Linked DNA regions of Notamacropus eugenii. The protein of the gene in region 2 binds, or shares a complex with, the protein of the main gene of each other region. Links are inferred from orthologs where the notes say so. Each region holds a gene or a part of one and is shown on either strand. Other genes may lie near its edges.

What was found.
Region 1: the proteins of CSF3R (region 2) and CSF3 are in contact, whole or in part, in a crystal structure (PDB 2D9Q), measured with the Homo sapiens proteins. The link is inferred for Notamacropus eugenii from reciprocal best matches to the Homo sapiens genes CSF3R and CSF3. Residues at the interface, in NP_000751.1 of Homo sapiens: Arg164, Arg190, Lys191, Leu193, Leu194, Leu195, Tyr196, Gln197, Asp220, Met222, His261, Ile262, Asn263, Arg311, Pro313, Leu314; in NP_000750.1 of Homo sapiens: Ser42, Leu45, Lys46, Glu49, Gln50, Arg52, Lys53, Leu141, Asp142, Asp145, Thr148, Thr149, Gln152.

Annotation. Positions count from the first base shown.
Region 1 is NC_092873.1:355,566,967-355,583,698, reverse strand, and holds CSF3 (granulocyte colony-stimulating factor), read right to left. Parts: upstream 8,784-16,732; 5' UTR 8,513-8,783; coding exon 8,223-8,512; intron 7,775-8,222; coding exon 7,660-7,774; intron 7,399-7,659; coding exon 7,252-7,398; intron 6,936-7,251; coding exon 6,771-6,935; 3' UTR 6,254-6,770; downstream 1-6,253. Other genes in the region: mediator of RNA polymerase II transcription subunit 24-like, read left to right, coding at 1-47. UniProt on the Homo sapiens protein: Granulocyte/macrophage colony-stimulating factors are cytokines that act in hematopoiesis by controlling the production, differentiation, and function of 2 related white cell populations of the blood, the granulocytes and the monocytes-macrophages.
Region 2 is NC_092876.1:83,169,015-83,185,517, reverse strand, and holds the start of CSF3R (granulocyte colony-stimulating factor receptor), read right to left. Parts: upstream 7,764-16,503; 5' UTR 7,437-7,763; intron 1-7,436. UniProt on the Homo sapiens protein: Receptor for granulocyte colony-stimulating factor (CSF3), essential for granulocytic maturation. Plays a crucial role in the proliferation, differentiation and survival of cells along the neutrophilic lineage.

The DNA.
Region 1 (16,732 bases), on a different chromosome or scaffold from region 2:
GGGGATCTCACCTTCTTTCAGTCATTCATTCAGCAAATACTTGTTGAGCACCTCTTAAGAGGAAGACAGTTGTTTAGAATGTCTTGTAAGGGAAAGAGATAGCAAAGTCCAGCTAAAATGTTTTCACTGTTACTGTAGAGTTTATTTCATTGTGATCATTTCTGCTCCTTTCAATAGAACGTTGTCCATGATGTAGGAGTTTTTAGCTCGTACCTTTTCTCAAAGATTTCTGCTGCCAAAATTTTGGATGAGAAGGAGGAACTCTAGTAAAAATAATTGCTAGTATTTATATAGTGCTTCGAAACTTGCAAAATATATTTCCTGGGTCATCTCATTTGAGTCTCACAATAATCTTATCAGGTGGGTGCTACCCTTATTTTATAGATGGGAAACAGGTTGACAGAAATTAAGTGGGACCCTGCAAGCTTCTGAAATTCTTTGGCAGAATTTGAACTCAGGTCTTCCTGATTCCAGTTTCAGTACTCTATCCATTAGACCATGGACAAATTGTGGTCCAAAGAGAGATGTATTCTCTAAAGATTACTATTTACATATGGCAGTGACTGTTAAACATTAAAAAATAAAAAATAAAAAAAGATTACTATTTACTCTAAAGTTACTATTCTCAGAATTGGGTTAGCATCTTTACCTGAGTGTAAAGATTCTTTGTTCTTTAGAGAATTCTGGTTCCGCCCATTTCTACCCAACTAATCCAGAGCCGGGAAGACCTGTACAGGGGCAGCCCCTGCTTGAGTTCCTTCTCCTGGAATTATTGGTTTGTTTTGGGTTGGAGCCAAACCTAGGCTAAAGTCTGAGAAATATGAGGTCCCCCTTTTCCTCCCCCCTCTTCCCTCCCCACCCATGCACTTGGTTCGTAGGTTATGACTTCTATTTATTTACACTAAATGTGGCAGGGCCCCAGGCTAGGGAGAAGCAGGCTTGAATACTTTGTAAGAAGGGGACTATTTCCCCTTTGGACATAGAGTGTCCCCTTTTCACCATCCAGTGGAATTCTGCTATGGAATAAGACAGGCCTTGGTAGTAGAGCTACTGGGAGCTTCCTCTTGTTCACCACAGCAGAGGATAGATTAATTGATCTAGAGTTTTTCTATAGCATAGATCTTTGGAGAGTAGGGGTGGAAGGTTTAACCATAGTAGTGTTTCCCCTTCTTGACAGGTATCACATCACCCTGAATCTGTATTCTGTATTGTCCATAGAAAGAAAAAAGTATTTCAAGGAAAATAATCAACATATCAATGAATTGTGACTATGTAGACCATATTCCATAGCCTTGACCCTTCACCTTTACAATGAAGAAAGGATCTCTCCTTTCCTTTGCTGCTACTAAAACGGCTTCTATAAATGTTTTGGTTCATATGGCTTCTCTTTCCTTGATGGTTTTAGTCCTTAGTCGGCAGTCTTCCTTGCCACCCTCACTCCTGCCCACAATTTTGATAATTTCATTGTGCATGTTAATGACACTTCAGTTTCACTAATGTCGGTGCCTTCAAGCCTTCCTCAATACTTAGCTATCCCCAGGGTGGTCACTTCTTAGATCTCATCATCATGTCAGATTGTTCCACCTCCCAAACCTCTAACCTGTCTCTGATCTCACCTCTCTAACTGCCTTTTACTCTTCCTAAACTTTTTTTTGGTCCTTTCTTGACCTGTGAATTTTCTGTTTCTCCCTATTTTACGTGACCACAGAATCACATCTTTATAATTTTTGTCCATCACTCCTGGTTCTTCTGGAGTCAAGCAGACAAAACTCATTACTAACACATTCTAGTACTCTGAGGTGACTCCCTTGTTCCCTCACCTCTATGTCAGCTCTTCTCCAAGTGAAATATAAATTCTTTAAAGAGTAGAGGTTGCTTCATTCCTTGTCTGGCACGTAGTATGTGCTGAATAAATGCTTGTTGATGGATTGATTCTCTAAGTTAAGTATCCCCATTTCCTTCAATAGATTCTAATTTGACATTTGCTGGTCACCATCCTGATTACCCTTTTCTGGGTTCTCTCCTGCTTATGAGTGTCCTTTTTAAAATGTGGTTCCTAGAACTGAAAACATTACTACAGATATTGTCCAACCAAAGTAGAGTACAGTGCATCTGTCACTTTCCTTGCCCTACTCACTGTTCCTGTCTTTTTTTAGCAATAAATTTTATTGATCTCTTTTTTCATATATTACATTTCCTCTAGTATCTTCTCCCCTCCACAAATGCCATCTCATATACGAGATTTTTTAAGACAAAAAAGAAAAAGAAACCGAAGAAGAAAAAAGATCAGCTTAACTGATCAAAAAAGTTTGAAAATGTACAATACTTGTGCACCTTCCACCTCTTTAAAGGGATTCAGTGGTGGTGTCTTCCCTTATCTCTACTTTTGAGTCTTGTTCTTCATAATTTTGAAATATTGATTTTTGATTTTTTTGTGCAATTCTTTCCATTTACTCCAGCGTAGTCACTATGTTTGTCTTTTTTCTTGTCTCAGTTTCCTTCACTCTCCTTTGGTTTATGTAGATCTTCCCATGCTTCTTTATTCATCACATTCATCATTTTTTACAGCACAGTAATGTTCCATTACATTCATGCATCGCCATTTGTTTAGCTTTTCCCAAGTCTATAAGCATCCACATTGTTTCCAGTTCTTCGCCATCACAAAATGTTCTATAAATATTTTTGTAAATATATAGGATCCTATCCAGTTAGCTGGACGGTCTGTGACTGAAGATGGTTCAGCCTTGTTCTCCCTGACCCTGGAAAGCAGATCTAGAAATCTGTGGAAGGCACAAGAGGCAGATTTTGTTTTGATCTGAGGCAACATTTCCTGATAATCAGGGCAGTCCCAAAACACTGGATGGAAGGAATGGGCAGGCTCCACAGAGAGTGAGTTCCCCATCAGTGGAGGTCTTTAAGCAGAGGCTAAGATGGTCTCTTGTTGGGGATATTCTTGCTTAGGTGTTTGTTGCACTGGATGTCCTCTGAGGTCTGTGATAGTGTGAAAGGAGAAGGAAAAGGAGTGAGTGGTGAGGAGGGAGGAGAGCCAAGAGAGTGTGGTTTCTGAGAGCAAGGGAGAAGGGGGTGGGGTGGGGCTGGGCAATGATGTCAGAGGGTCCTGAAGAAGGCTAAGGACTGAGAAAAGGCCACTGGATTTGACACCTGGGAGGTCTTTGTTGACCTGAGAGAGAATGTTCAATAGAGCAGAAAGTAGGTTTCAGGACAGAAGTCCCCAAAGGAGGTTGTTCTAGTGCCATTGTAGTCCTGGGAGCAGTTTCCCAAGTTCTTGTAAGGAGCTGGGCACAGGGAAAGTGACCTGATGGCTAGGGTTGGCCTGGTTCTGGTGCCTGAGCTACTTCTGTCTCTGGGATCTGGTATTCCTCCATCCCTTTCCCTCTGTCTGGCAGAGAGGCCAGTGTGGGGCTTCCTTAATGTGAGGGTTGAAATTCCCTCTGTGGGATTCCTCCTAGGCCAGGAGCCTTTTTTGGGGAGGCTCTCTTCTTCTCAGGGCTCTTCTGTGAGGAAGGGGATATACTTTGACTTAGGGTTTGCCCTGGGACCTTTAAACAGAGTGGGGTTCATCTCACCAGTCAGCCAGGAAACTGGGGGAGGGATGGGGAGGGACTGGGGAGGCCTCAGGGTTTGAGGAGGGGTTCCCTTGGAGTGGGGAAGGAGAGGGTTTTGAGCAAACCATGTCTTCCCCTCTGCCTCTTCCTCCCATTCCCCAGCTGACAGGTCCATGAGCAGTTCTCTGTCAGCCTCTCGGATGCACACAGTCAATATGAGAGACCCTTTGAACCGAGTCCTTGGTAAGTTCCCTCTGTTTCCTAAGCCTGGCCAGCTGGGCAGGAGACTCCCTTCTCCCACCTTCCCTTACCTGGTGGTGGAGACCCTCTCCCAGTCTGCCCCTGAGGACCTTCTGGTGTCCCCTGTACCAAATTGTCTCCTCCCTTCTGTCCTCTTCCTGCTTCTTCCTAACCCTCCTCTGTTCTCCCCCCTCTTGATTTCTCCTTTCCTCTTGCTCTCTTCCTGCCTCCAGAACTTCCTTTGCCCTTTCTGCTCCCTCTGCATCTCCAGATTTTTCTTCATGCTTTGTGCCTTTGACTGATCCTCTTGTACCTCTTGTGTCTGGCTGTGCACAGCAAACCTGTTCCTGCTCATCTCCTCCATCTTGGGGGCCAGGACAGCAGGCCCTCACACGCAGTTTGTGCAGTGGTTCATGGAGGAGTGTGTGGACTGCCTGGAGCAGGGCAGCCGAGGCAGTATCCTGCAGTTCATGCCTTTCACCACTGTAAGTTGTGGGGCCCGGGTGAGAGAGATGGCAGGTGTTGGGGGTGGGAGGCCCTGTGCTGCCCCTTAGGGCACTGTCCCTCCTGAGTGGATAGAGCAGGTGGCTCTGCTCTTTGGTATTGGGGAGTGAATTTGGGGAGGTGTGGGCAGTGTATTGGAGGGGATAGGGTTTACCTGGGATGGGACATTTGTGCAATTTCTAAATCAGTTCTTTGACTCCAAGTCTAAGACTTGTTATAATGTACTTTTTTGTGATGTCCACTCCTTGACTTTGTTATCTTTATTACGCAGTTATATGCCCCTCTTTGCGATCTCATGCACTACAGCTCTCTATGGAGTTTTCTTGGCAAAGACACTAGAGTGATTTGCTGTTTCCTTCTCCATTAGATCTTTTTGTCAAACAGTCAGAGGTAAAGTGACTTACCCAGGATCACATTACTCGTAAGTGTCTGAGGCTGGATTTTGAACTCAGGTCTTCTTTATTCCAGGCTGGCAGCTCTACCCACTGAGCCACCAGCTGCCTCCTTAACTCTTGGTCAATTATTCCTGGAGAGCTTCTCATCATGCCTTGGTTTATTAGAATGTAGATTGAAACCTCCTCCTTCTTGTCTTTCTGTTTTTAATTATAATTTTTTTTCACATACTAAGCATTTATTTTCTCTCCCTCCTTTTCTCCCTTCCCCCATTGAACATAAGGATAACAAAACCCTTGTAACAAATGTAGTTAGTCAAATAAGAGAGACTCCTGTATTCTGCTTTTCCAAGTAGCAGTCAACCTGCTAGGACTAAGAAATATTTCTTGTATGCCTTTGGGATCCACTTTCCACACCATCTTTATTATAAAGAACGTGTTATTCTACTATTCCTTGTGAGGTTTGGGGTGTGTCCGTCTGTAGGTCTGGCCTGCCCTCCTCTAGGGAATCCAGGAGTGGCTGCTGGAGGGAAGAGATCAGTGCTATGGGCTCCCTCCCTTAGGCCCTCTCTGACTGGAGCCCAGCTTTCACGTGTGAGTGTAACTCCTTCCAGCCCTCATCCTCATAAACCCTACTTGGGAGGCCCAACCAAAGTTGGCTTCTAGTTTAATTATTTTCGTCAGGAGAGGGATTTGGAAAATGGGATTCTTTTAATTCCTAGTCCATTATAGCTAGACACTCTAAAGTTCTTTATAATTCCAAGCTGAGAAATTGTTCTAGCACAGCTTACGTGGGATTTCTTCTCTAGAAACTAGGCAGGGAAAGGAAATTTGGTTTCTGAGGAACTGAAGGGTGGGCAGTTGTTAGGCATGGAGAGAGAAGACTAGCCATTGTGGCACTTTGTGCCAATGGAACTGCCCTGGGATATGGTGGTTACCTGATTAGAGGCTGCTTGTCTGGCTCTGACAGAATTGAAATGAATGTGGTGGGCATGGGAGGGAGATTAGGGAGGAGAGTTTGCATGGAGGTGGTGGGAAGTGTTCAGAGCCTACCTTATCAGACGCTGTCATCTATAGGCCTCCCCTCTGTTCTGGTTTTGAGGATATCTCTCTATTTACTACTCCATTCTGCCTTTCTTACCATGATCAAAATTATAATTAAATCAACAGTTACAACCCAGACAGGCTAATAGAAGCTCATAGAAGCTCAGCCAGGCTGTGAAGGCTTAAACCCAGCTCCTTCTCTGTTCAGAGGGTATCAACAGTGGAGCTGGGTTAGGCAGACTGTCTGGGAATGTAAAAAAAAGGGGGCCGACCTCCAGCTCGGGGAGCCCCACCAAGCCCTACCTTCCCTTCTTGGAAAGCTAGCTGGGCATCTGCTCAGCAGCTGGATACCAGGAATAAAAGTAACAAGCCACCATGAATGCTCAGAGCAAGAAGGACTCCAGGGACCTCCTCTGATCTCCCATAAATACCTTCTTCACACCCCAAATTCTTGAAAAGAAAATGACTTCACACAGAATTAGGATTTCAGGTGCAATTCAACAAATATTTATTCAAATGCCTACAATGTGCTTAGCACAGGGGATGCAAACACCAAAATGAAAAACTGTGCCTGCCCTCAAGGAGCTTACTTTGTCATCACCTCCCAGCCAAAGCATTCTTTGTTCTGCAAAGAGCCTTTCCCATGCAGCAAAGGAAAAACCAAAGGACAGAGTTGGATTGACCCTGGCAAGACTGGTAAGTTAGGCTCTGCCTCCAACCCAGCCATGGCTAGACCAGGAGAGTAGGTACCAGTATTCACCTAGGGAACACTGCTGTTTAAATATTAAACAACGGAGCATCTCCCACCTGGAGATTGGTCATTTAATGGCAATACTTGGTATTTACCTATTTATCTTCCAGCCCCCAGGATGGCTGGTCAGGATTTTCCCCTGCTATGAGCAGGGAGACTGACTGTGACCTAGAAATGGGATTGAGGGAGAGGACTCCAGTCCCTTTCACCCTTTAAATATCTTACTAAGTTTAAATATATAAATATTAAATAGGGGATAAATATAGGATTAACTCAGGACTGGGAAAGGTGGCGCAGGTCACGGTATGCCATGTCCAGGAAGCCCTGCAAGTAGTTAAAGATGATGACGCCCCCCGCTCGCCGCTGGAAGGAGGAACTGAAGGTGGGCAGGGGGCCCTGAGTGGGCATGACCTCACGAGCCACTTGAAGATCTTCCATCTGTGGGAGAAGGAAGGTGTCAGAGGTAGAGTTTGGAGGGGGAGCCAGCAGGTCTCAACCACTGCCTTCCATGGCTGAACCTCAACCGTTAGATGATTTCTGCCTCCTGGACAAATTCCACCCTAACAGTCCTCTAAGACCAACAGTAGAGATGGGTTCATTTTAGACCTTTGACCCATACCTCCCCTCTAAATATAATGGCTATTCCCTAAAGAACAAAAACATCCTTTCATCTATAATATCAGGAAGGGAAAAGGAAGGATGTTCATTTGATATGTAATGGAATGCCTCACAGTTAGGCAGCAGTAAGTCTCACCTGTTGCCAGATGTTGGCAGCAAAATCACCAATGTCTAGCTGCAGGATGTTCACAGTCGGAGCCAACTCAGGGGAGATGCCCCCTAGTGCTTTCACAAGACCCTGGTAGAGCTGAAGCCCATAGTGCAGCTGATTCAGGCAGGCCACCTAGGGTTAGGCAGAGTGTTAGGAGAAAGGGCCTGGAGCTGGAGCTAAACACTCTTCCGCCCTACATTCCCTCCATGAAATTCTCAAATCCATACCTCCTCTCCCTAAACTGTAGCACTGAGCATCAGGGTAGAATTAGTGAAATCCAGATAGGATTTTTTGGGGAGCTACCCACCCCCAAAGAGGAAAGAAAGAATGTGTATTTTCCCATACCTTCTATCCCTGACTCCAGAGGTCAGAGAAGAGTTTGGGGACACTTACCAGTCTTAAGTCCTGACTGTAACAGTTTTTCAGAGGTGGCTTGGGGATGCCCAGATACTGGCCAACCAAAATCAGCTCCTCTGGATGGCACAGTCTATAGTTGGCACACTGGGAAGACAGGAATAGAATGCTTAGTAGAACTGAAGGTAAAGGGTCACCCCTGGGCCCTATATATGGTCTCTGCTTCTTAGTTTTTGTCTGACCATCTATCTTGATGGCAGTGGATAGAGAACATTGAATTTGGAGCGAGTTCAAATCCTGGCTCTTACTCATAGTTGTGGCAAGTTTGAGCAGATTCAGCTTCTCTTAATATCCCACCCTAAAGTTCCTTCCAGCCAGAAGTTCTAATATCCCAGCCTTCCTCCTGCCTCCTGTACCTCCTCAGTTTCTCTCTATCTCAGTGGGATTGTTCTTAACATCCCCATTCATTTGGTTTCCTGGTTTCTATTCTAGCTCACTCTTGTTTTCCCCATGTCCTTTCCCTGGGCACTCTCAGGTGCTACCACTTTCACCCCAGTCTGCCCCTGGGCCTCTCATTTCCCTACTCCCTGGGTCCCTTTCTCACCAATTCCTGCTGTAGTCCTTCAATGTCATTCTGGATCTTCCTCACTTGCTCCTGGATTTGGGGAAGGAAGCTCTGGTGTAGGTAGTTGGAGGAGCTCAGGGGGATGGCAAGGAGCTGAGGCCAGACTGCACTCAGCCAGAATACCAGCAGGTCTGGGGAAAGAGAGGGAGGGGAATTATCAAAACAGAGACTTTCTTTAGAGAAGGGTCCCCATCCCTCCACCCTAAGACATTTTCCATTCCCAACAAGGGATCCCTCTAGTGTCTCTGACTCTCCCCACCTCCCCATTATAAAGTCAATGAGAATCCCACTCCCTTCTCATTTCAGGTGCCTTTCCTAACCCTAGGCAGAATGATAGACAGCCCAGGCAGTCCCGTCTTAGCGATGAAGGAAGAAGGGCCCTTAGGTCACCAGACTCACTGGGAAGCTTCATGGGGATTTGGTCTGGTCGATGGATGGGGCCTGTTGGGATCAGGAGTTGCAGGCGCTGGACTGTGTCTGAGGCTGGCTGCTTGAAGCCTTTATAGGATGGGCCATTCAGGGAGGAAATTACCTGGTGCTGAAAGTTCTTAGTAATGACTTCCCAGGTTTATGCAAATCAATGCCCAAGACAATGCCTTAGGGTGGAGTGGGGTCAGGGGGTGGGGGTGGGAGGGCAGGGGTCTGGGGCGCCGAGGGCTCAGTTTGCGAAAACTTTGGGAAATAATGGAATATCTCATCCCCCTTTGACGTCCGGTGCTCCCTTCCCCGCCCCACCCCATAGCCCAGAGATGCCCTGGGGCTTTCTAAGAGAACTGTGTGATCTAGGGCCTGCCTGATAAGAGGGAGGGACCGAGACCAAGAGATGGAGAACAGTGACAGAAATGGAGCCAGTGACAAAAAGACAGATGGAAGCCAAGAAGAAAGACCCGTCGGGTCCCTCTTGTCCTGTTAGCCCATTCTGGTCTCGCACTGCAGCCTTCTCTTCTAATTCCCTCAGCCTGGCTGGGCTCCCTGGCTAAGAAGGGAAGGAATAGTTCTCTGGCCCCTGTGACTGTGTCTCTTTCTTCAAGCTTTCCTGGATTTGGCTGCCTCTTCTCCCTGTAGAAGTAACTGCCTCTCTTGCATCTGAAATTGGGGCATATAGTAGAAGCTATAGGGTGCTCCACCGCCATGTTCTAACTCTGTTCCCCTCTCCCCCCATCCCCCCTTCCTCTGGACCAGGCACAATTCCAACCTTCAGGCTGCTTTGAGCAGGTTATGCTGGGAACTCCCCATAGTACACGCACATCCCCCAACCAGTGAGTCATGACTCATTCTTTTAAGCCCCCAAATTCCCCAGCTGGCTGAAACCGGATGTCTGTCCTGAGTGAAGCAAGAATCGCAGTAGCTCTTGACTGAACTGGTCATGTTCTCGCTCCCCCTAGAACGCATCATCTTCCTGGAGAGTCACAGGGACTGGGTCAGGCTTGCCCCTTTCACAGCCTTGTTGGTTAGGAATGTTTCCCCCTAGAAAGGAAGTTGGCAATGTGTGTGTGTGTGTGTGTGTGTGTGTGTGTGTGTGTGTGTGTGTGTGTGCAAGAGCAGGGAACGGGGAACAGCTCTGTCCTTGGAAAGTGATTTGAGGACAGGTTGGCAGGATACTGCCTTCCCCACCATGTGCCCCATGCCCAAGAATAGCTTTGCCCCTCGTTCCTGAGATGAAGGGTGCCCCCTTACAGCAGGGACCATCCCTGGGACTCTCACTCCACCTGGTGGCCACACCTGACAGGTATCAAACAGACCCTGAACTTTGTGGGTCAAAAGACGAGCTCTGGTTGCCACTCCCCAGTCTGTTAGTGGACAAATCATTTCACTTATTCAAGCCTCAGCTCATTTGGAATGTTAATAACACACTTTCTACCTCTTTAGGTTGTTGAAAGGAAAATGCTTTCTAAATTACAGATCCTTGAGAGCTATCAGTTAGCCTTTGTATTCCCAGCATTTAGCAGTGCCTGGTACACAGTCGGTACTTTAGAAATGAAGGAAACAAGCTTTCATTAAGCACCTACTAGGTGTTCATCCCAAACTACTTACAAATTATTTCATTTGACCTACACAACAGCCCTAGGAGGTTCGTGCTATTACCACCACTCCCTTGCTCCCCCCCTCCCCTTTTACAGTTGAGAAAAATGAGGCCGAGGTTAAGTACTAATAATAGCTAACAGCGCCTGCTCTCTGCTAGGCACTCTGCTAAGTGTCTTACAAATCTTATCTCATTTGACCCTCACAACAAGCTGGGGAGGTCGGTGCTATTATTATTCCTATTCTATCTTGACAAAGCTGGCTAGTGGTGTTACTTTAGTGGTTATTGACAGGAAGGAAAGACTGGTGAGGTTTTTCCAAAATGTTTCCAGGCAAAAGAAAAATCAGAAAAAGTAATTAGAGTTTTTGTTTTTCTCTATTAAAAAAATGCACAAGTCTAGTGCGGCCCCACAGTAGCTGTAATTTTAATCACAGCTTAAATATTTTGCAGTGGAAAGGAGAATTGGAGAAGTTCGTAAATATATGAAACCAAATGAGAGGATGTCTGTCTAAATGAGTTATATAATTAAAAAAGAACCCCCCCCTCCCAAATTATCCTCATATTGCAGATGAGAAAGTGAGGCAGAGAGAGGTTAAATGACTTGCTTTGGGTCACACTGAGGCTGGATTTGAACTCAGGACTTCCTGACTCTAGTTCTAACACTATCCACCGTGCCATTTAGCTGCCTATATATGTGTGTGTGCATGTACACATGTGTACATATATACATTATATATAAATGTGTGTATATATGTATATACAGAGAGAGTAAGATAGAGAGAGAGGGAGAGGAAGAGAGGGACACAAAGATGGAGAGAGACATAGAATGGGACAGAGAGGAAGGGAGAGGGAAAGAAAGGAAAAAGGTAGATGAAGCTTTTATTAAGTCTTTTCCATGTGCCAGGTGCTGTACTAATCACCGAGGATACAAGTACAAGCAAGTAAGACAGTCTTTGCACTAAGGGAACTTACATGCTAATAGGGAAAGACAATACCCCTGGAAAGGGGAAGGGGAGGGGGGTGAGTTAGAGATACCGGGAGTGATTTGGAACAGACAAAATGGCCTGAGCCCCTAAAAATTAAGGCAAAAATTCACCAATGGAAGCCAAGGGACCCAAAGGTGGGTTCCGTTTACTTGTAGAAAGGAATGAAGGAGAGTTATTTGCCAAGGATGACTTGTTATTGTAAGAGATGATACACATGGACCCTAGCTTTTGGGGCAAGAACTCACTATTTGACAAAAACTGCTGGGAAAACTAGAAAATAGCATGGAAGAACAGGTATAGACCAACATCTTACACTATATTATCTTACAGATATACTAAGATAAGGTCAAAATGGATGCACAATTTAGACATAAAGGGTGTGATGATATAAGCAAATTAGAAGAGCAAGGAATAGTTTACCAAATCTATAAAAAAGGGAAAAACTTATAGCCAAATGAGATAGAAATCATTACTAGATATAAAATGAATAATTTTGATTATATTAAAAAGCTTTTGCACAAACAAAATCAATACAACCAAGATTAAACGGAAAGCAAAAAACTGGGGAAAAAATTTCACAGGAAGTATCTCTCATAAAGGCCTCATTTCTAAATATATAGAGAACTGAGTCAAGTTTATGTAAGTTATTCCCCAACTGACAAATGGTCAAAGGATAAGAATGGGCAGTTTTCAGATGAAGAAATCAAAGCTATCTATAGTCATATGAAAAAATGCTCTAAATCACTGTTGATTATAGAAATGCAAATTAAAACAACTCTGAAGTATAATTCTCACATATCTCAGATCAGCTAATATGATAGAAAAAGAAAATGGTATATATTGGAGGGGATGTGGGAAAATTGGAACACCAATGTACTAATTGTTGGAGTTGTGAACTGATCCAGTCATTCTGGAAACAATTTGGAACTATGCCCCAAATTCTATAAAACTGCATACCTTTGATCCAGTAATACCACTACTAGGTCTGTAATCCAAAGAAATTTTTAAAAGGGGGGGTATTGGGGAACATGACCTATTTGTACAAAAATATTTATAGCAGCCTTTTTAGTAGTGGCAAAGAATTGTAAATTGAGAGAATTGTCCATTATTTTGGTTGAACAAGTTGTGATATATAATTGCAATGGAACACTATTGTGCTATAAGAAATGACAAGCAGGCTGATTTCAGAAAAACCTGGAAAGACTTACATGAACTGATGCAGAATGACATAAGCAGAACCAGGAGAACATTGTACTCAGTAAGAGCAATATTATACAATGATTAACTGTGAATGACTTAGCTTTTCTGATCAATATAATAATCCAAGACAATTCCAATGGACTCATGATGAAAAATGTTATCCACATCTAAAGAAAGAACTGATGGAGTCTGAATGTAGATCGAAGCATACTATTTTTTACTTCATTTTATTCATAGTTTGTTTGTTTTTGGTCTGTGTCTTCTTTTACAACTAATATGGAAATATGTTTTGCGTGATTGTACATGTATAACCTTTATCAAATTGCTTACTGTCTCAGGGAAGGAGGAAGGAAGGGAGGGAGAGAATTTCGAACTCGACATTTTTAAAAAAATAAATGTTAAAAATTGTCTTTGCGTGTAACGGGGAAAAAAATAAAATATTTAAAGAGAGAAAAAAGAAATTATGCATATGAAGAATTCTGAGAAACTTGGCAAGACTCCTAACAACGGAGACAGAGCAATATCATCAGGGGCAGACCCGTGTCCAGGTTGACTACAACACCATGAAGGAGAAGAACACCGAGAGACTTCAGGCTTATGGTCAGTGCACTGAGCACTTGAGAAGACTGACTGCCAAGTGCTTCTCCCACCTCTTGGCAGAGAGGTGGTAGATTAGAAAAGTCAAATGAGGAATATATTTTCATATATGACCAAATGTAATGATTTGTTTTGTTCAACTATGCTTATTTATTAAAAGGGAGGGTTCTATCGTAGGCAAGGGAAGCCAGTTGGAAAAATGAAATTAAAAAAAAAGAGAGAAAAGAAAAAGAAAGAGCATCAATAAAAGTGACTTGGCAGGGGTGTGCTTGAGCCAGCTTGTGCTCCAGAGTGCCCACTGTTAAATTTTCAGTGTAAGCATTTACCCTTCTGAAATAGTCAGATTGGGGTCTGAGCTATTGTCTTGTTGATTGTCTAGATTTAAGAAAGTGATGGAGAAAATGTTAGTAATGAAGATTAAATTTAAGTTTAGTAAGCTACGCATACACCCACTGAGTTCTGGTTGTTAAAATTTTGCCAGCAAGCACCCGCATATGGCTCAAAGCTCCCCAAGGAATTCTGGGCTCACATGGATCTGATCTTGGAGACTAGACTCCTTGAAGGGTTAGTTTCCTTGGCTCTTGCCCCAATTACATACATTTTATTCTGGGGAGATCTCCAGAATAAAGCTTAGGTTTGGTTTATGTCTAAGTTTTCCACAATGTGGGTAGCAGGAATTTTTACATAGGCATTCAATAAATGGGTCAGCCTTTTTTTTTTTTTTTTTTTGACTACCACAGAAAATGCATAGAATTCACAGGAGCCTGTGGGCAAATACAGAAATACAAAACCATCAGACCAAAAGGTAAGACATTCTGGGGTTACTCCTTGACATTCCTCATTCACCTTGATCTGCACTGCCCAAGCAATACCGGGGAGAGTTAGCAAGGTCCACATGTCCTATGGCTTTCATCCTTCGGCTTCTATTGGTCTTTTCTTCTCATCCAAGGAGCACGTTGTTGTGGAAATTCTCTTTAGAAGATGCTCCTGCCCAAACCATAGAACCCAGGCACTCAAATTTGAAATCACCCATGAATTAACTCCAAAGCTGGTGCTGCTCAGTATCTTTTCAGACTAGAAGTTTAGGATCATGCTACCTGGCAAGGAGCTGGGATTCAGGAACAGAATTTTTGCACTCCTCTCCTCAGGTAGTGTGGAAAAAAGTCTGCACCTGCCATGTGCTGCTTCTGTGTCAATTGTAATTACCTCTTGTGGGGGAATAGACAAGGAAAACCTCTCCTCCTATTCCATCTCCCTCTCCCACCACGCTGGCTGCATTCCTGAAGAATGTGCAAGGGGAAAATAATGAGGGAGTTCTGGATGGCTAGAAAGGGAGAGAGGGATGCAGGCCCTCCCAACTCACTTTTATAACCCACAGGTCAAAGGAACGAGATGGCCCCTGAGTCTCTGTTACTGGGAATCAATCAAAGGCTTTCTCTGTGTTCTTTTAGAAGCCACAAGAAAAACTAAACCAAACCAAACGTAACAAAAGAGGAAATAGGTCTGCTTCATTCTGCGTTCCAACTCCATAGTTCTTACTCTGGATGTGGATGGCATTTTGTATCATGAGTCCTTGGGAAATGTATTAGGTTCTTGCCTTGCTGTGAAGGACTGTCTATTAAAAACAGTCCTCACACACTGTGGCTGTTACTGTGTGTGTTCCTTTAGCATGGAGGCAGTGTACATATTCTCTATGAGAGCTGCCTTTCAAATGGATATAGAGATTTAGGAGTCATCTGCACAGAGATGATCATTGAACTTGATGAGTTTACCATGTCTTAAGAGAATTTCTCGCTTAACTTTTGTTTAAAGTGAATTTTGGAGAGAATGTAGTTAACATTTGACTATATATGACCTATGCAGGTACTGTAGGACCAACAGCAGTGGTTGGTTCTCTTGAGTGTCTTTCTTTGTTTCTGTCATTGGTACAAAAAGACTAAATTGCTAAAAAAAAAAAAAAAAAAAGAGGATTTCATCTTCTGGGATATCTACGTCCATTATGTAGCCTTTCAAGAAACTCCTTTTGATTTAGTGAAACCAGCTACACTACCACGACACATCCCTTACCTGTCTCCTTTAGCCAAGAATATACATATTCTCCTTAACATAAGTATTTTGTATAATGAGCAACCATCTTTGTTTGTTTGTTTGTTTCAGATAAGTGTCTAAGTACAACAGACTGAAAGGTGAAAGACACACATTCCCGTCACCTGTAGGTAGGATGTGTCTCTCTCACCCACTCTGTTCTCTGATTTGTTCTGACTTAAGTGGTATTGGATAGTTGAGCCTATGTCTAAATTCGTGCAGGAACTAGAAGAGAAGATAGGATGGACTGATAAAATATCAAGGTCTGAGCAAGACAGGGGAATAGGACCTAAGAGAGAGAGTACACTCACATATGACAGGACAGAGTATGGATGATGAGCCTGGAAAGGAGACTGAGTCAGAAGAAGGAGAGAATCAGGAGAGCAAAGTGTCATGAAAATCCCAGAAGGAGGATGGGGTTGTCATGTTGAATGCTGAAGAGAGGTCAAAATTAAGTGATGACAGAAAAAAATTATTAGATTTTGAAATGAAGAAACCAGGAGTCCATTTCCAAATCCATAACTGGTCCAAAGGAGGGGAACAAACAGTTTGCAAAAGGAGAATTGCAAAATATAACTGTCCACAGGAAAATATGATCCAGATCACCAGTGGTAAGAGACATGCAAATGACAATCATTCTGAAATTTCCCCTTCCACCCTGAAAGTTGGTACAAAGATTTAAAAAAAAGGACAACTTAATAGTCAAAGTGAGAGGAGTATGAGAGTAAAGGCACAGTAATACATTGTTGGGAGGTGATGAATTGGTTTAACTTACAAATATTAGTATGAAATTATGCAAGGAATGACAAAACGGTCTATACCCCTTGACTCAGTGATTCTCCAATGGATCACACATACTTAAGAAGTAAGAGACAGAAACAGTAGTCTAATAGAAACCACAATATTCCTTCTAGCACTCTTTCTGGCAGCAAAGAACTGAAAACAAAAAGGGTGCCCATCAATTAGGGAATGACTTAAAAACTGACTCATTAATGTCATAGAGTATTACAGTGTAGCAAGAAATGAGAAATACAAGGAATTTAGAGGAATATAAGAAGATTTATTAACAGATGCAGGGTGAAATAAACAGAAATAAGAATAATTTATATCTGCAACAATATCCATTCATTAATTCATTTGTTCATTCATTGAATAAGCATTTATTACAATATCCTGCACAACTCCATAACTCAAGTACTCAAGAGTTAGAGGACCTGAGTTCATATCCCACTCCTGACATACTTTTTCTGTGACCTTGGGAAAGTCACTTAAAATTTCTAAACTTCTGTTTCCTTCACTATAAAGCGAGGGGGATTGGATTAGATGGAATTTAGGGTCTCTGGATGCTTTAGCCTGTGATCTCTACTATGTACCAGGCACTGGGCTAGGTGCTGGTTATACAAGCATGAAATAAAACAGTCCCTGTTCTCAAGGTATTACATTCTATAGAGAAAACAGCATATTCTTAGAAAATGCAATATAAATTATATGCAAAATGAACTCTGGGGAGAGAAGGCACCAGCAACTGGAGGGATCAGAAAGACGTTCCTAAATGAAAAGATCACTAAAAGATAGTAAAACTCTGGGGAACAGCAA
Region 2 (16,503 bases):
TCCCATGGATTTATCGATCATCTCATGATTTCCAAATCTATATATACTACATATACAGGTCCAATCCCTCTCCTGTGTATCCAAGTTGCAGCTATAATAATAATAATAATCCATTTATTGAGTGCATTAATATTTGAAAAACATTTTACATGTCATCTTGTTTGATTTTCCCAACAACCCTGGAGGTAGTTACTATTATTATCCCATTTTCAAAGATGAGGAAGGTGATGAAGCTAACATGTTAAGTGACTTTCCCAGGGTTATGAAATTAGCTAGTATCTGAAGTAGGATTCAAACTCAGGTTTCTCTAATTCCATGTCCAGTACTATTTTCATTACACTACTTACACTTTCCATCTGAGTGTCCCAGAGATACCTCATATTCAGTATGTCCCAGACTAAACCTGTCATTTTCCTCCTAAACCTACATCTTTCTGCAATTTCCCAGTTTCAGTTGGTGATGCCATTCTCTCATATAACCTTGGAGTCCTCTTCTATCTTTCTCTTCCTTCTCCCTCATCTGCTACATCCCAACAATTGCCAGTTTATAATCTTTCTTTCTTCCTCAACTCCTGCTCTTATATTAGGAGACTTCATGTCCTGCCCACCCAGACCCTAATATACCAGTTCCTCAACTAACTCATTTCCCATGACCTTCTTCTCCATCCTACCTTAGTTATACACAGAGATGCTCATACCTTTGATCTCTCACAAATACACCACTTCCATATTCATGAACTCTGAAATTCCCTTATCTGATCACAATCCATTAGTATTCTACCTTTTCTCCTTCTTTCTAATACCAAAACCTTCTGTTCATCTACACCATGACCTCCAATCCTTTAACCCCTCAATTTTCTCCCAGGTCATCACTCCTTCATTAGCCATACTCTCCTACTTTCCCTATCTTGAGCCTTAGTGAATCAGTTCAATTCTATATTGTCCTTTTCTGTTGAATTCCTTGCTCCCTTATGATATCACTGATTGTGCCCTGCCAAACTTTAGCACTGGATTTCTTCCACCATCTGTTGCATCTGGTCATATGCATCTATTTTTGAATGAAATAAGAGAAAATCAAATTGTCCTGACTGAGTCCACCTCAAATTTATGTTAAACAACCTCAGTTGGACCCTCACTGCAATAAGACAATCCTTTTTTTAACTCCCTAATTAAATAACTATCTCACTCACCACCATGACTCTCTTAAAACTTTTCATCCCTCTTCAAACTTCCATGACTCACCTTTTCCATCCTCTTAGTTAAGAACCTCATCTCATATTTTACTGAAACAATTGAAGCATTCGCTGAGGGGTCCCTTTTCTCCCCTACCCCTTACTTCACATTATCAAGATGACTTTTGCCCACTAATTCTTTCTTTACTCCTGTCTCACATGATGAGGTAGCCCTACTTCTTGCCAAGGTCAACCCCTCTATGTGCACAAGTGACCCCATTCCATCCTGTCTCCTCCAGTAGATTGTCCTATCCACTTATCTTCAATCTCTTCTTGTCTACTGGCTACTTCTTTATTGCCTACCTATTTCTTTCCCCAGCTCTCAAAAACACCTCACCTGATCCACCCATCCCCACTAACTAAATTGTCCCATATTATATCTGCCTTTTGTGGCTAAATAAATGAACTTGAGAAGGCCATCTACAATAGGTGCCTCCACTTCTTTTCCTCTCTCTCTCCTCTTAACCCTCTATAGTTGGGTTTTGGACTTCATCATTCAATTGAAACTATTCTTTGCAAAGACACTAAATGATCTTTTAATTGCCAAATCCAAAGGCCTTTTCTCAGTCTTGACTTAATCGTTCACCTTCTTCTCCTTCATATTCTCATTGACATTCTCTTCTCTCTGGGTTTTCTGGGCACTACTCTGGTTCTCTTACTCATTAGATTACTCCTCATTCTCCTTTGCTTGATGCTCATCCAGGTCACACCTGCTAACTGTGGATGTCCCATAGGGTACTGTCCTGGTCCCCTTGCTTTTCTCCTTCTATTCAATTTCACTTGGTGATCTCATCAGTTCTTATGGATTCAGTTATCATATCTATGCTGATAATTCTCAAATCTACTTATCTCTGAGTTCTCTACTGACTTTCAGTTTAGCATCTCCAACTGCCTGTTGGACATTTTGAATTGGCCATTATATAGACACCTTAATCTCAATATTTCCAAAGATGAATTTATTATCTCAAACTTCCCTATTACTGTGAAGGGTACCACCATCTTTCCAGTCCTCCAGATTTGAAACCTAAGTGTTATCTTGACTCCTCTCTGTCTCTCACCCCTATCTAATCTGTTGCAAACCTTTGTAACACCTCTGGAATATCCCCCATCCGTCTGTCCTCTATTATTGTCATTACCCTCATACATCCTGGTTTCTCTCCATGCCTGTACTATTCCAATAACTTGTTGGTAGGTCTCCCTGTCCCAAGTCTCTCCTCACTCTGGGCCATCCTCCACTCAGTTGCTAGAGTGGTTTTCCTAAAGTTCGGGTCCAACTATGTCTTCTCCCCGCTCAATAAACTCCAGTGACTTCTTATCATCTTCAGTATTAAATTAAAATACTCTGATGTCCAATGCTCTTCATAACCTAATCCCTCTGTCACATTTTCAGTCTTCTTACACCTGACATCCTATCATGTACTCTTCAATATCCAGAGACACTGACCTTCTTGCTATTTCTCAAACAGAACACCTCATCTTCCAAGTCTGTGCATTTTCACTGGCTTTCCTTAGCCTTGTATGCACCTCTTCTCATCTCTTGGATTCCCTGGCTTCCATCAAGTTTCAGTTAAAATCCCACCTTCTATGGGAAACTTGCATCAATTCCTCTTAGTTCTGTACCTTCTCTCTGTTCATTATTTCCCATTTATCCTATAGATAGCTTGTTTGTGCATATTTATTTGTATGTTGTCTTGCCCCAAGGTTGTGAGGTCTTTGAGGTCAAGGATTATTTATTTTTTGCCCTTTTTTTTGGTATCCTTAGTGCTTATCCTAGTGCCTGGCATATGTAGGTGCTTAATAAATGTTCATTGACTGACAATATCTCAGAAATCCATCTCTTCTGCATTCCCACTACTAGCACCCTTGTTCAGCCTCTCATTGTTTCTTTCCTGGAAGAAGACTCTTAATTACTCTTCTTGCCTATTGTCTCTGCCCAGTCCATCCTGTACATACCATGAGATTAATCTTTCTCATGCACAAGCCTGAAATGTCACTAACTTGTTTAAAAAGTTCTAGTGGCTCTCCATCACTAATAGGATAAAATGCAAATGACTTAGTCTGACCATCCAGATCCAACCTCCTTTTCAGCTCTTACTTCATACTGTTCCCCTATATACTCAGTGTTCAAGGCAGAAGAGTTTCTGGTCCCCAGTCTACCTTCACCCATTGTCATACCTTTACTTACATAGACTCACCTGCCTGGATTGACTTTTCTTTCCCATCTCCCTTCCTCTTATCTCCATCTTTTCCTTCTTTGGCACTAGATTTGGAGGAAATGAATTTGAATCCCAGTTCTGTCAATTACTGCCTATATGACTTCTGACAAGTCCCTTCATCTTTGTGAGCCTCAGCTTCCACATGGGTAGAATGGATGGGTGGTGGTGAAGTGGGTGTGTTAAAATAAATAGTCTCTCAGGTCCCTTTCAGCTATAACCCTCTAATCTCTCTGGGTTTCTGGGTCTTAGTTGCTTCATGTATTTAATGAGACAGTTGGACTATATGTCTATCCTCCTGTCCATTTCAGTTCTTAATCTCTGATCCTAAGATATAATATAAACAATTCTTCTGAGACAGTTTCTCAGGTAGAAGTGATCCTTCCATCACCAAATCTTTCATCCCTCAATGTCTGATTTTTCATAAGCATTTGCCATTTTTAAAAGTTATTTTTCTTTGTATATATTCAATTAAATGAACATTTATTCACCTCCTACTCTATTCTAGGCACTGTGAATGGTGTCCGCTTTCAAGGAACTTTCATTCTACCATACAAATGTCATTATCCCTTTATTAGACTGTAAAGCATGGATGATTTTGTTTTTGTCTTACAAATCCCAGCGCCTGGAACAGCGTAGGTACACAGCATGAGCTTGAGAAATATTTGTTGAGCTGCATTGAAATGAAATCCTGGCGCTGCCACTTAGTACCTATGGCACCTTGGGAAAGAAATGACCTCTTTGGGTCTCAGTTTACTCATCTGTTAAATGAAGGGATTGGACTAGATGAGCACTAAGATTTTTCCCATTACTGACCCTTTCCATGTGTTTGGATGTATTTGACATCTCTAATTGTAAGGGGACATTTCTTTGTTGGGAATCTACATTTCCCCTTTTAAAACTACCTCCCATGGGTTGTAGTTCTGCTAAGGGATCTTGTGCCTCCTAAATCTTTTCTTCTTCAGACTAAGCATCTTCCCTTTCTTCAGATTATTCTTGAGTGGCCACTCATTCCAATAAAGACAAAGCCTAAGGCGACAACATCTTTCCACCAATATGTAAATTCTGATTGACAGTAAGAGAATGAACTCTGCCAGAAGAGAACAGAGATGGAGGTAGTTGGGAAATATAACGACACACCTTTGTTTAACCTTTAGAGATCACATAGTGCTTTCCTCAGCACAGCCCTGTCAATTAGGGAGGACAAATCCTATTTTGGCAAATGAGTAAACTGACCTGCAAAGATGTTGGATGACTTGGTCACGGTCCCCCATAGTAAGAGTGGGGATCTGAGGGAAGGTCTGAATTCCAAGACCTCTGGATATGTCAGCACTCTAACCACTACATTGTATTGCCAATTTCAAGGTTCCCATTTTTTTTTCAGTCTGATCTTGTGATTTCTTTCATGTGGGAATTCCCTAGATGGAAGCTCCCTCCAACGAAACCTATCAGCTACTCTTCTGTAACTTACAGGCTCACAGAGATGTCTGAAGCAGCGAGAGGTTGTGACCTGTCCATGATTAAATGACTAGAATGTGTCAGAGGCAAGACTGGAACCCTAATCTTTTTGATGATAAGGAAAGTGTTCTATTAGCAATGGAGCCTCCCAAAGGTTCTTTAAGAACTTTAAAGTAGCATCATTTAATGGAGGCTTATATCAAATAGCTGTCTGTCTTTCTTACCCAGTCATCGTGTGTCTGGAGTCCTCATTGCCCCTCATTGTATTCTTTAGATTTGCTTCTCTCCGCAGAAACCACCGGATAGAGGGAGAAGCCTTTTATTCTCCTGTCTTCTGACTCTTTCAGCCCAGCTACAGCTGAAGAGTTTGGTCTTCATAAACAAAGAAGAATCCAGAAACTTGGATGGATCAGCACTATCCCTTCCTTCATTGTATTGCATCATCTCTTCCCTTCCATTTCCTTAGAGGTAGTATGGTGTAGTAGATTTGGATTCAAATCCTGCCTCAAATACTGTGTGTGGTCTTAGCCTCTAGGAACCTCAGTTTCCTCATCTGTCAAAGGTGAATAGGAATAACACCAGGTTGTTGTAAGGATCAAAGTGATTTGCAGAGTTGAAGATTCTACATAAATACTAATTAATCAATAAGTTTTCTCTGTGCCAGATATTGTTCTAAATGTAGGGGCTACAAAGAGAGAGTCTTTGCTTACATTCTGATTGATATCAGCTATTTCTTTTTTTAAATTTATTTCTCAACTTCTTTTTCATTTTCTCTTTTTCTCTGCTCATTGTTCAACCTGCCCTTCATTTTCTCTCTCTCCTCTCTCTGAGAAGTTTCTTTCCCTCTTTTTCCTTTCTCCCTTCCCTTGATTCTCCTTACATTCTTATACTCTCTCTCTGGCTCCTACTTTTCCTTTGTCTTTCATTTTTCCTTCCTCTTCCCTCCCCCCACCCCACATTAGAACTGGAAAGACCTCAGAGAATTGTCCCTTAATCTCTTTCTCCTCTAGCACCCAGTACACATGGCAGATGTTAGAGACTTAGGCTTAATCAATGGTGAATTGGGTTGAAATCATTTAGTCCAATCTCATATCTTTTCTAAATGGAGGCATCTTCTTTCTCTCCATTCACCACTCCCCTCTTCCCCAACTTTGACTGTGTTGTGGTTCTATGTAGGCAGCTTAGGTCCAGTGAGAGCCTGAGCATCTGTTGTTTAAGGACCAACCTAGATGGGCTAAGAAAAACTTATCACCAGGGAGCTGGTAATCTGCTAATTTGTTTTCATCTCCAGCCAATGATTGCCATATTACAGATGGGCAAAGTGAGGCCCAGGAAAGACAGGGCACTTGCTTAAGGTAAGAGAGTGAGTTAGAGAGAGCTAGGTGGCATGGTGGATAGAATGTTGGACTTAAAATCAGGAAGACCTGAGTTCAAATTCTGCCTCAGATCCATACCGTCTGTGTGATCCCTGTGTAAGTCAATTAATCTCTGTCTGCTATAGCTTTCTCATTTGAAAATAAGGATAATAATAACATTTACTCACAGGTAAATGAAGATAAAATTAGATAATATTTTTATAGCACTTTGCATATTTTAAATGCTAATTGTTATTTTTAGTAGTAATACTAGACCAAAGGTTTAGGCCTAGGCTCCCTTACTTTGATTTCAGAGATCTCTGCATTATTCCTCAGAGCTCCCAAACCCCTTATCATCAATCTTTGTGTTTTTCATCTTTTCTTACTCAGTTTGCCATTTGCCTTAGAATTCTGATCAAAGTGTTAGTAGGAAACATTTGATTTGGTGTTAGAGGATGTGCGTTAGAATCCAAGCTTGGCTACTTTGTACCTCAGTTTCCTCATCTGTACAAGGAAGCATTTGGATAAGATGATCTCTAGTAAGTAATATTTCCACAGCAATTTAAGGTTCCCAAACCAATTTACATATATTATCCTGTCATTTGGTTCTTACAACCCTGTGGGGTAGGCACTGTTATTATCTCAATCCCATGGATTTTTCTGGGGTAGACAGAAAAGCAGCTTGTTCAGGGTTACATAGTGAGTGTCTGAGGTAAGATTCCAACTCAGATCTTTCTGACTTCACCTATATTCTATAGCTTATACCACCTAGGTCCCTTCTAGTTTTAAATCATATGAGCAGAAGTGGATTCGTCTTAAAAGGCATGCTTATATATATATATATACTCCATCTCTTTCAGGGCCTACATGCCCTATGAGGAAAGATGGGAGGGGACCTTCTCCTATGTGCGTCAGGTAGACAGACAGATATCCCTTCCCCTCTGCTCCGCTGGAGATGCCGATAACTGATATATATCTAGGGAGCGCAGTGCATCTGGATCCACATATCCCACCACTCCTGTTCCTAAGGAGCTGGGCCTAAGTAAGGTTCCAGGGGTTCGGCTTCCTGGCCCTAGTTTAAACCGAGGGACCTCAGACTGTCAGGGCTCAACTGAGAGGGAATGGGGGTTGCTCTTGGGGAGGTGTAGAGGGTTGGGGGCTGGTGCCTTCAGGACTTACCTCATGCGTGGAGTCATTTTACCTCCCCTTCAGTCACTTCTCAGAGATCGAACTGGCTGGACTGGATGGCTGGCCTGCCACAGGCAATCACCGGGGGCCTCACATCATCTCTTTTCTTGCTCAGTTCCTGAAAACTACTTCAGTACAGACTGTTCTTCCACCTTCCTCTCCCCATACCCCTCCCTCGCAACCCAGGGCTGTCGTTAGTCTCTCTGACTTTCTGACAGGCCTTCCTTGGGGTTGGGGGATTGCAACACCTGCTTCAGCCTCCCTCCTTGGGAAGGGAGCCCCTTCCCCCCAGGAAGGAGAGCTCTGAGAAGCTGGGCAGCCACTCTGGGGCAGCCTTCCTGCCCAGGACCCTTAAAGGGGCTTGGGGATGTGGCAAGGCTCAGAAGACCCCACCCCCCGGATTTCCTGGTCTAGAAGTCTTGCCCCTGGACAGAGGCCAGGGGTTCTGCAGCCTATTTTGGGGCCTGCCCTGCTACTGTCCCCCCAAAATAGGTGTTTTGGGAACCTGTCAGTTGGGCAGGTCAAATGCAATCTTAATCCTTCTTCCTTTTCCCCCAAATATTGGTCACTTGGGTAACCTGAAACCTACCTTTCCTTGAAGTCCTTGGTTGTGAATTTCTCTGAGTAATTCTTTAGCTGAATCCCAATGGGGAGGGAGGATAGAACAAGGTGGAGGAGAATTTTGGGTGTTGGCCATTGTTTTTATAGAGAGAAGAGGGTTGTACCCACTTCAAATTTGTGTCAATTATATTGAGGTAACATAGCGGTGGTACCATGGAAAGAGAGCTAACTTTGTAGTCAGAGGGCCTTCAAATTTTGGCTTTGTGTGTCTTATCCGAGCCTCAGTTTCCTCATCTGTGATACTAAAGGGTAGGGCTGCATAATCTTTAAGGTTCCTTCTCTCTCTGACATTCTACAATTTTAGCCCCCTCTGAACTTCACAGAATGTGAGAGTTGGAGGGCACACCTTTAATCCAGTTCACACATGAAAGAAATCCCTGCCATAAAAGATCCAACAACTGGTCATCTAATCTCTGCTTGAAGAACTGATTCCCACTGACCTTACAGTCCACTAAACTCCCGAGTCCATGCCTTCTCCCATCTTATGTCTGTGAAGTGGATTTTCTTTTGGTCCCTAAGTGCTAGACTTCACATTTATCCCCGCTGAACTTCATTCCATTAGATTCAACCCCATTCTCCAACCTCCTGAGATTCTTTTGGATTGTGACTGTTGTCTAGCATGTTAACAGTCTCTCCCACTTTTGTGTCATCTGCAGATCTGATGAGTGTACCATCTATGTCTTTGTCCAGGTCATTGATAAACATGTTAAGCTTTCAGAAGAAACTGAGGTGCTCCCAATTCTGATGTTCCTACTGTGTTGGCATTGAATCATTAATACCTACTCTCTGAGTTTGGCTACCTATTATTAACTTTGTTAATTCATCTGACTGTGTTTTGATCTAATCTATACCTTTCCATCTTTGCACGAATAGCATGAGATATTTTTAAAATAGCTTTCCTAAAATCTAGAAAAACTATATCCACAGCATTCCCCTCATCTGCTATTTCAGTAATATTGTCAATAAAGGAAATGAGGCTAGTCTGACAAGATGTGTTGCTGATGAAACGAAATCTCAGTTTCCTTATCTATTAAATGGGGATAAAAACACTTGTATTGATTATCTTTGTGAGACTTAAGGGAGATGATCAATAGAAAGTACTGTTGTTAATGGTAGAGCTTTATACAGGCAAACCTCATTTTATTGCATTTCACTTTATGGCCCTTCACAGATACTGTATTTTTTATGAATTGAAGGTTTGTGGCAACCCTTTATGGAGCAAGTCTACTGGCACCATTTTCCCAATAAAATGTGCTCACATCATGACTCTGTCACATTTTGGTAATTCTCATACTACTACAAACTTTTAAAAATTATTATCATATCTGTTAGGAGATCCATGATCAGTGATCTTTTGAGGTTATTATTGTAATTATTTTGGGATGCCGTGAGCCATGCCTATATAATTGGGGACCTTAAGTAATAAATGTTGTATTCTAATTGCTCCACTGATGGGCCATTCACTGTCTCTCTCTCCCTCTCCTCAGGCCTCCCTATTCCCCGAGACACAACAATTAAAAACCCTTAAATGATCTCTAAGTGTTCAAGGGAAAGGAAGAGTCGATCTATGAAGCAAACTTTGTTGTTGTCTTATTTTAAGAAATTGCCACAACCACTCTATCCTTCAGCAACCACCACCCTGATCAGTCAGCAGCCATCAACACTGAGGTAAGACTTTTTACTTATAAAAAGATTATGACTTGCTGAAGGCTCAGGTGATTATTAGCATTTTTTAAAACAACATAAAGTTTTTTTAATTAAATAGTATACATTGTTTTTTAAAAAGACTTAATACTGTTACACACTTAATGGACTATAGTATAGTGTAAACATAACTTTTATATGCATCAGGGAACCAAAAAATTCATGCTACTCACTTTATTGTGGTGGTCCAGAACTGAACCCACAATATCTCTGAGGTATGTCTGCATAGATATGGGTTATCATTATGTAAGTCCCCTCTCTTCCCCAAATATGTGATCCACAGGTTAGTTTTAAAGGAACACATCCTGTGAGGGGGGAGTAAGGGAATGGCCAATAGCAAAATGCATAAAAATGTGGGAGGGAAGGGAGGTGGGAGAATGGGAAACACATATAATATAATAAAACAAAAATGGGCCCTAAGGCTGGAGAATCTTGAGACGAAATCTTGTTTCTTATTGCTTTTACAATTTTTCACACCCTGGTCCTAATCAACTTGTCCTACATTATGATACATTATTCTCCTTCCTCAACTCCATGGTCTAGCATTGCTGAGTCTTACTGTTGTTCAATGTGATCTTCCACTTCCAACCTTTGTCCTGACTGTCTTCCTACCTGGAATACACTTTTTTCTCACCTGTTATCTCCAAGAATACTTAGTTTCCTTCGACACTTTGATCAACTACCACTTTCTAAGTAAAGCCTTTTCTGATTCTCCTCAGCTCCTATTTCTTCACTCTCCTCCATCCTCTGAATTTACCTTGTATTTATTCTACGTACACTTAGTAAGGTACATATTGTCTCCTGCGATAGAATATAAGTTTCTGGAGGGCAGGGACTATTTCACTTTTATCTTTGTATACCCAGCCGTGGTACGGTACCCAGCATGTAAACTAGGGGCTTAATAATTACTCATCGATTGATTGATTGGTGGCATTCACTCATGTGTAAATCAATACACCTTTCTGAGTCTCGGTTTCTTAATTTGTCAAAGAGTACTAATTTCAAAGGGTTCTTCTGAGACTCAAAGGATATTAGTATATGTAAAATGCCTTGTAAAACCTTAAAGCCCATTATAAATGTCAGTTCTTATGATGATGATGAATTTCTTCTTCTAGAGTCTTTAAAAGCAGGAAGAAATTTTTATCCAACTGATAAGTATTAAGAATCGACTGTCTTGCCCAAAAACAAGTTGAGGAGAACAAAATCTAACATTTCAAGGTTGATGTGTCATTGAAATGTCTCTGGTGAGGTTCTGAAGCATTTTGGACCCCTCTTTTTGCCACATCTTTCCCCCTACCTCAACTCCCCAATATTCTGCTCCCAATTATTTATCTGCACGTCTTTTGTAATCTTTTCCTTCATGGTTTAATTCTGATGTTAATTCCTTAATGATACCTTTCTTGATATCCCTTCCCCCTCCTCGCACTTGCTAGTGATCTTTCCCTCATCAGACTACCTAATCTATATATGCTGTTTTCCCAACCCCCCGCACCTCCCCTGCAAACCACAATAGAATGTAAGCCTTTTGAAGGCAGAATTATTATCATCTTTTTGGTCTTTGTATCGCCAGGGTCTAGTATGGCAACTTGCATGAAGTAGGTGTTTAACACATCTATTAAATTTGTTGCATTCTTGGAAGAGCAGAAGCTGGTCCAGGTATAGAACTCATCACTCATCTTCCCATCAAATACATCTCAGCCGGAAGCCCTTGAGAACAATAAACAACATGAAAATGTGCATACAAATAATTCCTGTTTCTTTTTGAGTCAGCCTTTCAGGCTTTTGGTAACAAGGCTCTCTGAGCATGCCCAACTCAGAGCCTCCAGTAAACACCTGTTTGCACAATGGAGGTCACCCGGATCCTTGAGCAATGCCTTGTTTGCACAATCTCAGCACAGAGAGCTATATTCCAACCCAGCAGCCTGGGCAACAGTTTCTTCCGGGCAGCAATCTCTCTGTCTTTGGTTCTCTGTCTCTGTCTGGCTGTCTCTGTTTCTGTTTCTCTGACTTTGTCTCTTGTCTCTCTATGTCTATCTCTATCTGCATCTTTCTGTCTTTGTCCCTCTGTCTCTGGCTGTATGTCTTTATCTGTCTCTTGTCTCTCTGTCTCTCTGACACTCTGCCTCTGTCTCTGTGTGTGTTACTCCTCATAGACAGTCTCAGGACCTGTTCTCCCACCATGGGCCACATTCCCAAACCAGCTAAGCTAGAAGAGGCTGCTTCTCTAGTCACACGGAGACAAGGACTCACAGGTTCCAAAGAGAAAACAACACTAACCTTGAGATTGTCTGTGCATCTGCAGTCAGAGCAGAATCAGGACACTGTCCAGCCCCAAAACATGGATTATCCAGAAACTACAGATAATTCCAAAAGGCACTTACATCTGTTTTTCTTTTTTTCTTTTTAAATATGTCTTTTTCCCTTTACATTTGCTCCTATTAGAGAGGTAGCTGTGGTACACTGGGAAAACCTCTGGGTGTTCCTGGACCAACGAAGAGACATGGTTTTTCATTCCATCTCCCACACTTATTATCCCCATGACTTTGGACTGGTCTCTTAATTACTTTGAAGTTCAACATGGGGATAAAATACCTTGTCCTTTGTTCATTCTCCTCCTAGAATCAGGGTATGTTGGTGCCTATTGCTTGTGTGCTGGAATTGTTTCATTCATTATATTATCAGTGCCTAGTCCATAGTAGACCCAAAGTAGACTAGAATAGCTAGCAGCTATATAGTGCCTACTATGTAGGCACTGTACTAAGCATTTTACATGTATTATCTAATTTGATCCCGATAATAACCCTGGGAGGTAGGTGCTATTATTATCTTATAGGTGAGGAAACTGAGGCAAACAGAGGTTAAGTGATTTGCCTAAAGTCACACAGCTAGGAAGTATCTGAGGCTAGTTTTGAACTCAGGTCTTTCTAACTCGAGACCCTGTGCTCTATTCATTGTACCACCTACACTATATAAATGTTAGCTATTATATATCTTATTATTACATTGCTTTAAGGTTGGCAAAATGTGTTACATAAATAATTTCTTTTCATTTTCACAAAAAACTCTATGAGTTAAGTGCTGTAGATATTACATCCCTATTTTACAGAATCAGAAATTGTTGGATTAAATAACATGCCCAGGGTCACACAGCTAGTAAATTTCTGAGGTAGGATTTGAATCCTGAACTTCTGGGGTCTAAGACATGCATTCTGTGCTTCCAACAGTCAACATCATGCCCCCTTGTTGGTGGGGGAAGGGAGTTCAGACGTGTGATTACATCACTCTAGGGAACTCACAGCAAGAAAACTCCCTTTAATTGGATCAACAACTGTTCTGCAATTCATATCTGCCCAGAACACTGAGAGTTTTAAATTATTTGCCTCATGGGGCCCTCACAGCCAGGATGTGTCCAAGGCAGGGCTTGAACTCAGGGCTTCCTGACTGGGAGTCCTCTACAACACTTCATGTCAGCATCATAAGGTGGGAGACAGGGACCACGATTCTAAATGTATTGGTGTAAGGAGGTCCTGTTGAAGACCTTCCTCAGGAAATAGAGATTGCACCCTGGCTGCAATTTATTCTCTTAGAATGTGCCTAGAATACTGAGAGGTTAGTTGACTTGCTTTGGGTCACACAACCAGTGTGTGTCAGAGATTAGATTTGAACTTAAGTCTTCTGGCTCCAAGGCCAGCTCTCTGTAAGTTATGCTTGCTGCACTGTGTTCTCCCTCTTTTCTCTTCTTCATCTCTCTGTCTCTCTGCTTCTGTCCCTATCTATGTCTGTCTGTCTCTCTCCTTCTCTCTCTCTCTTTATCTCTCTGTCTGTCTGTCTGTCTGTCTGTCTGTCTGTCTCTCTCTCTCTCTCTCTCACACACACACACACACACACACACACCGTAGCTATAGGACTGGCAAATAACTTCAACTTTATGACTCTCAGTTTCCTCATCTGTAAATATACTTAAAAATAATTGTGCTACCTATTTTGCAGGACTATTGTGAATAAAGCCCTTTGTAAACCATAAGCTGCCATAGGAGTAAGTTATCGTTGTTATTATCATTGTTTTCTAAGGCAGTACATTTTATTGTTGGACAGCTCTAATTGTTAGAAAAATTTCATCTCTCATTAAGCCCAAATTTGCCTCCCTGTAACTTCCCTTCCTTTGCTCATGGTTCTGGCCTCTGGGGCCAAGCAGAGTAAATCTAACTCCTCTGTCCTAACATAATCTTTCAGATATTTGTAAATAGTTATCATGTATCTTCTTGAGTCTTTATTCTTAACATCCCCAGTTCTCAAAGACAGCATGGATTCCAGTTGCTTTCAAAACTTTGGACAATCTGCTAAATATTTCTGCATCTTAGGAAAATAAAAGACTTAGATTAGGTGATCTCTGAAGGCTTTTTCTTTCTATGATTCATTCATTCATTCATCCATTCATCCAACCATCCTTCCTTATGCATTTATTGAGTTCTGCATTTACTGAGTTCTTTGTATTTGCAAGACCTGGTGCCCTATACTGCACAATATAAAGGAAGAATAAGACATAGTTCTAGCCTTCAGAGAACTCACAATCTAATAGATAGGGAGTGGATTGGGGTTTCTCCTTCAAAAATTTAATTTAGATGCAATACGATTTGGTGCACATATGTTTAGTATTGATATGACTTCATTGTCTGTGGTATTTTTCAGCAAGATAGTTTTCTCCCTTATCTTTTTAAATTAGATCTATTTTTGCTTTTGCTTTTTCTGAAATCATTATTGCTACCCCTGCTTTCTTTGTGTTAGCTGAAGAATAATAAATTCTGCTCCATTCCCTTACCTTTTCGTGTGTGTATCTCTCTGCTTCACATGTGTTTCTTGTAAACAAGGTATTATAGAATTCTGGTTTTGAATTCATTCTATCTGCTTCCATTTTATGGGTGAGTTCATCCCATTCACATTTATAGTTAAGATAACTGTTTATTTCCCTCCAAGCTATTTTCCCTTATTTGTCCCCCCTCTTTCTTATGGCCCCCTTTCCCTCCTTAAAAATATTTTACTTCTAATTACCATCTTCCCTAATCTATCCTCCCTTTTATCAGTCTTCCCTCCCTCTTCTATTATCTCTGTCCCTTTTTGCTTACTTCTGTGGTAAGATAGATATCTGCTCCAAAGGAGTTTGTTGGTTATTTCCTCTTTGAGCCAATTTTGATGAGAGTAAGGTTTAAGCTTTGCCTGCCACCCTCCCCTCATCTTCCCCTCCATTATAAAAGCTCTTTCATCCCTCTTTCATGTGGGATAATTTTAGCCCCTTCAACCTCCTCCCTCTTTCTTCTTCCAATGCAAATTTCCCCCTCACCCCTTTACTTTGTTTTTTTTGAGTATCATCCCATCAAAGGTATCTTATATCTGTATCTTCTGTCCATATTTACTCCTTCTAATTGCTCTTATAGTAATAAAATTGTTGAGTTACAAATATCTTGTCATATAGAAATACAAACAGTTTAACCTTATTGAATTTCTTTTGTTTTCTCTTTCTTGTTTCTTTTTTTACCTTTTTATGTTTTCCTTCACCTTGTATTTGGAGGTCAAATTTTTTTTATTCAGCTCTGATCTTTTGATTAGGAGTGCTTGAAAGTCCTCTATTTTGTTAAATATCCATTTTCCTCTCAAAAGATTATTTTCAATTTTTCTGGGTAGGTAATTCTTGGTTGTAATCCTAACTCCTTTGACTTCTGGTATATCATATTCCAGGCCCTCCAGTTCTTTAATATAGAAATTACCAAATCCCATGTAATCCTGACTGTAGCTCTACAATATTTGAATTGTTTCTTTTTGACTGCTTGCAGTACTTTTCCCTTGATCTGTGAGTTCTAGAATTTGGCTATGAGGTTCCTGGGAGTTTCCATTTTTGATATGTCTTTCAGGTGGTGATCAGTGGATTCTTTCAATTTCTATTACACCCTCTGATTTTAATATATCAGGGCAGTTTTCTTTGACAATTTCTTGAAAGATGTCCAGGTTTTTTTTTGTTTTTGGTCATGGCTTTCAGGTATTCCAATAATTTTTATATTATCTCTCCTGGATCTATTTTATAGGTCAGTTGTTTTTCCAGTAAGAAACTTCACATTTTATTCTATTTTTTAAAACTGTTTTTGTTATTGTTTTATTGCATATTGATGTCTCATAGAATCATTAGCTTCCACTTACTCAATTCTAATTTTTAAGGAATTATTTTCTTCAGTGAGTTTTTGTACTTCCTGTTCCATTTTAGGTTATTTCTTTAAGGTTATTTTGGGGATCTGTGATTGTATCAGTTTGGAAGTTCCCTCCTATTGAGGCAACTAGGTGGTCCAGTAGTTAGAATGTTGGGACTGGAATCAGGAAAACCTGAATTCTAATCTTGCCTTGTTTTGTGATCTTGTAAGTTTTGTGATCCTGGGCAAGTCACTTAACCTCTGTCTACCTTGGTTTCCACAGCTGTAAAATAGGGATTATAATAATAGCAACTAGTTTCCAAGGTTGTTGTGAGAATCAAATGAGGTAATAATATTCATAAAAAGCACTTAGCATAGTGCTTGGCACATAGTAGGTGCTTAATAAAGCCTTCCTTCTAATAATGTAGATCATCATCTATCCATGCTTGTCCATGTTGTCCTACTCGCTACAAGTTCACCTTCTTTGCTTTTTTCCTTACATTTTGAGACTATGAGTAACACACTCGGGTTGTCCCCTTGTCATTCCTAGCCTTCAC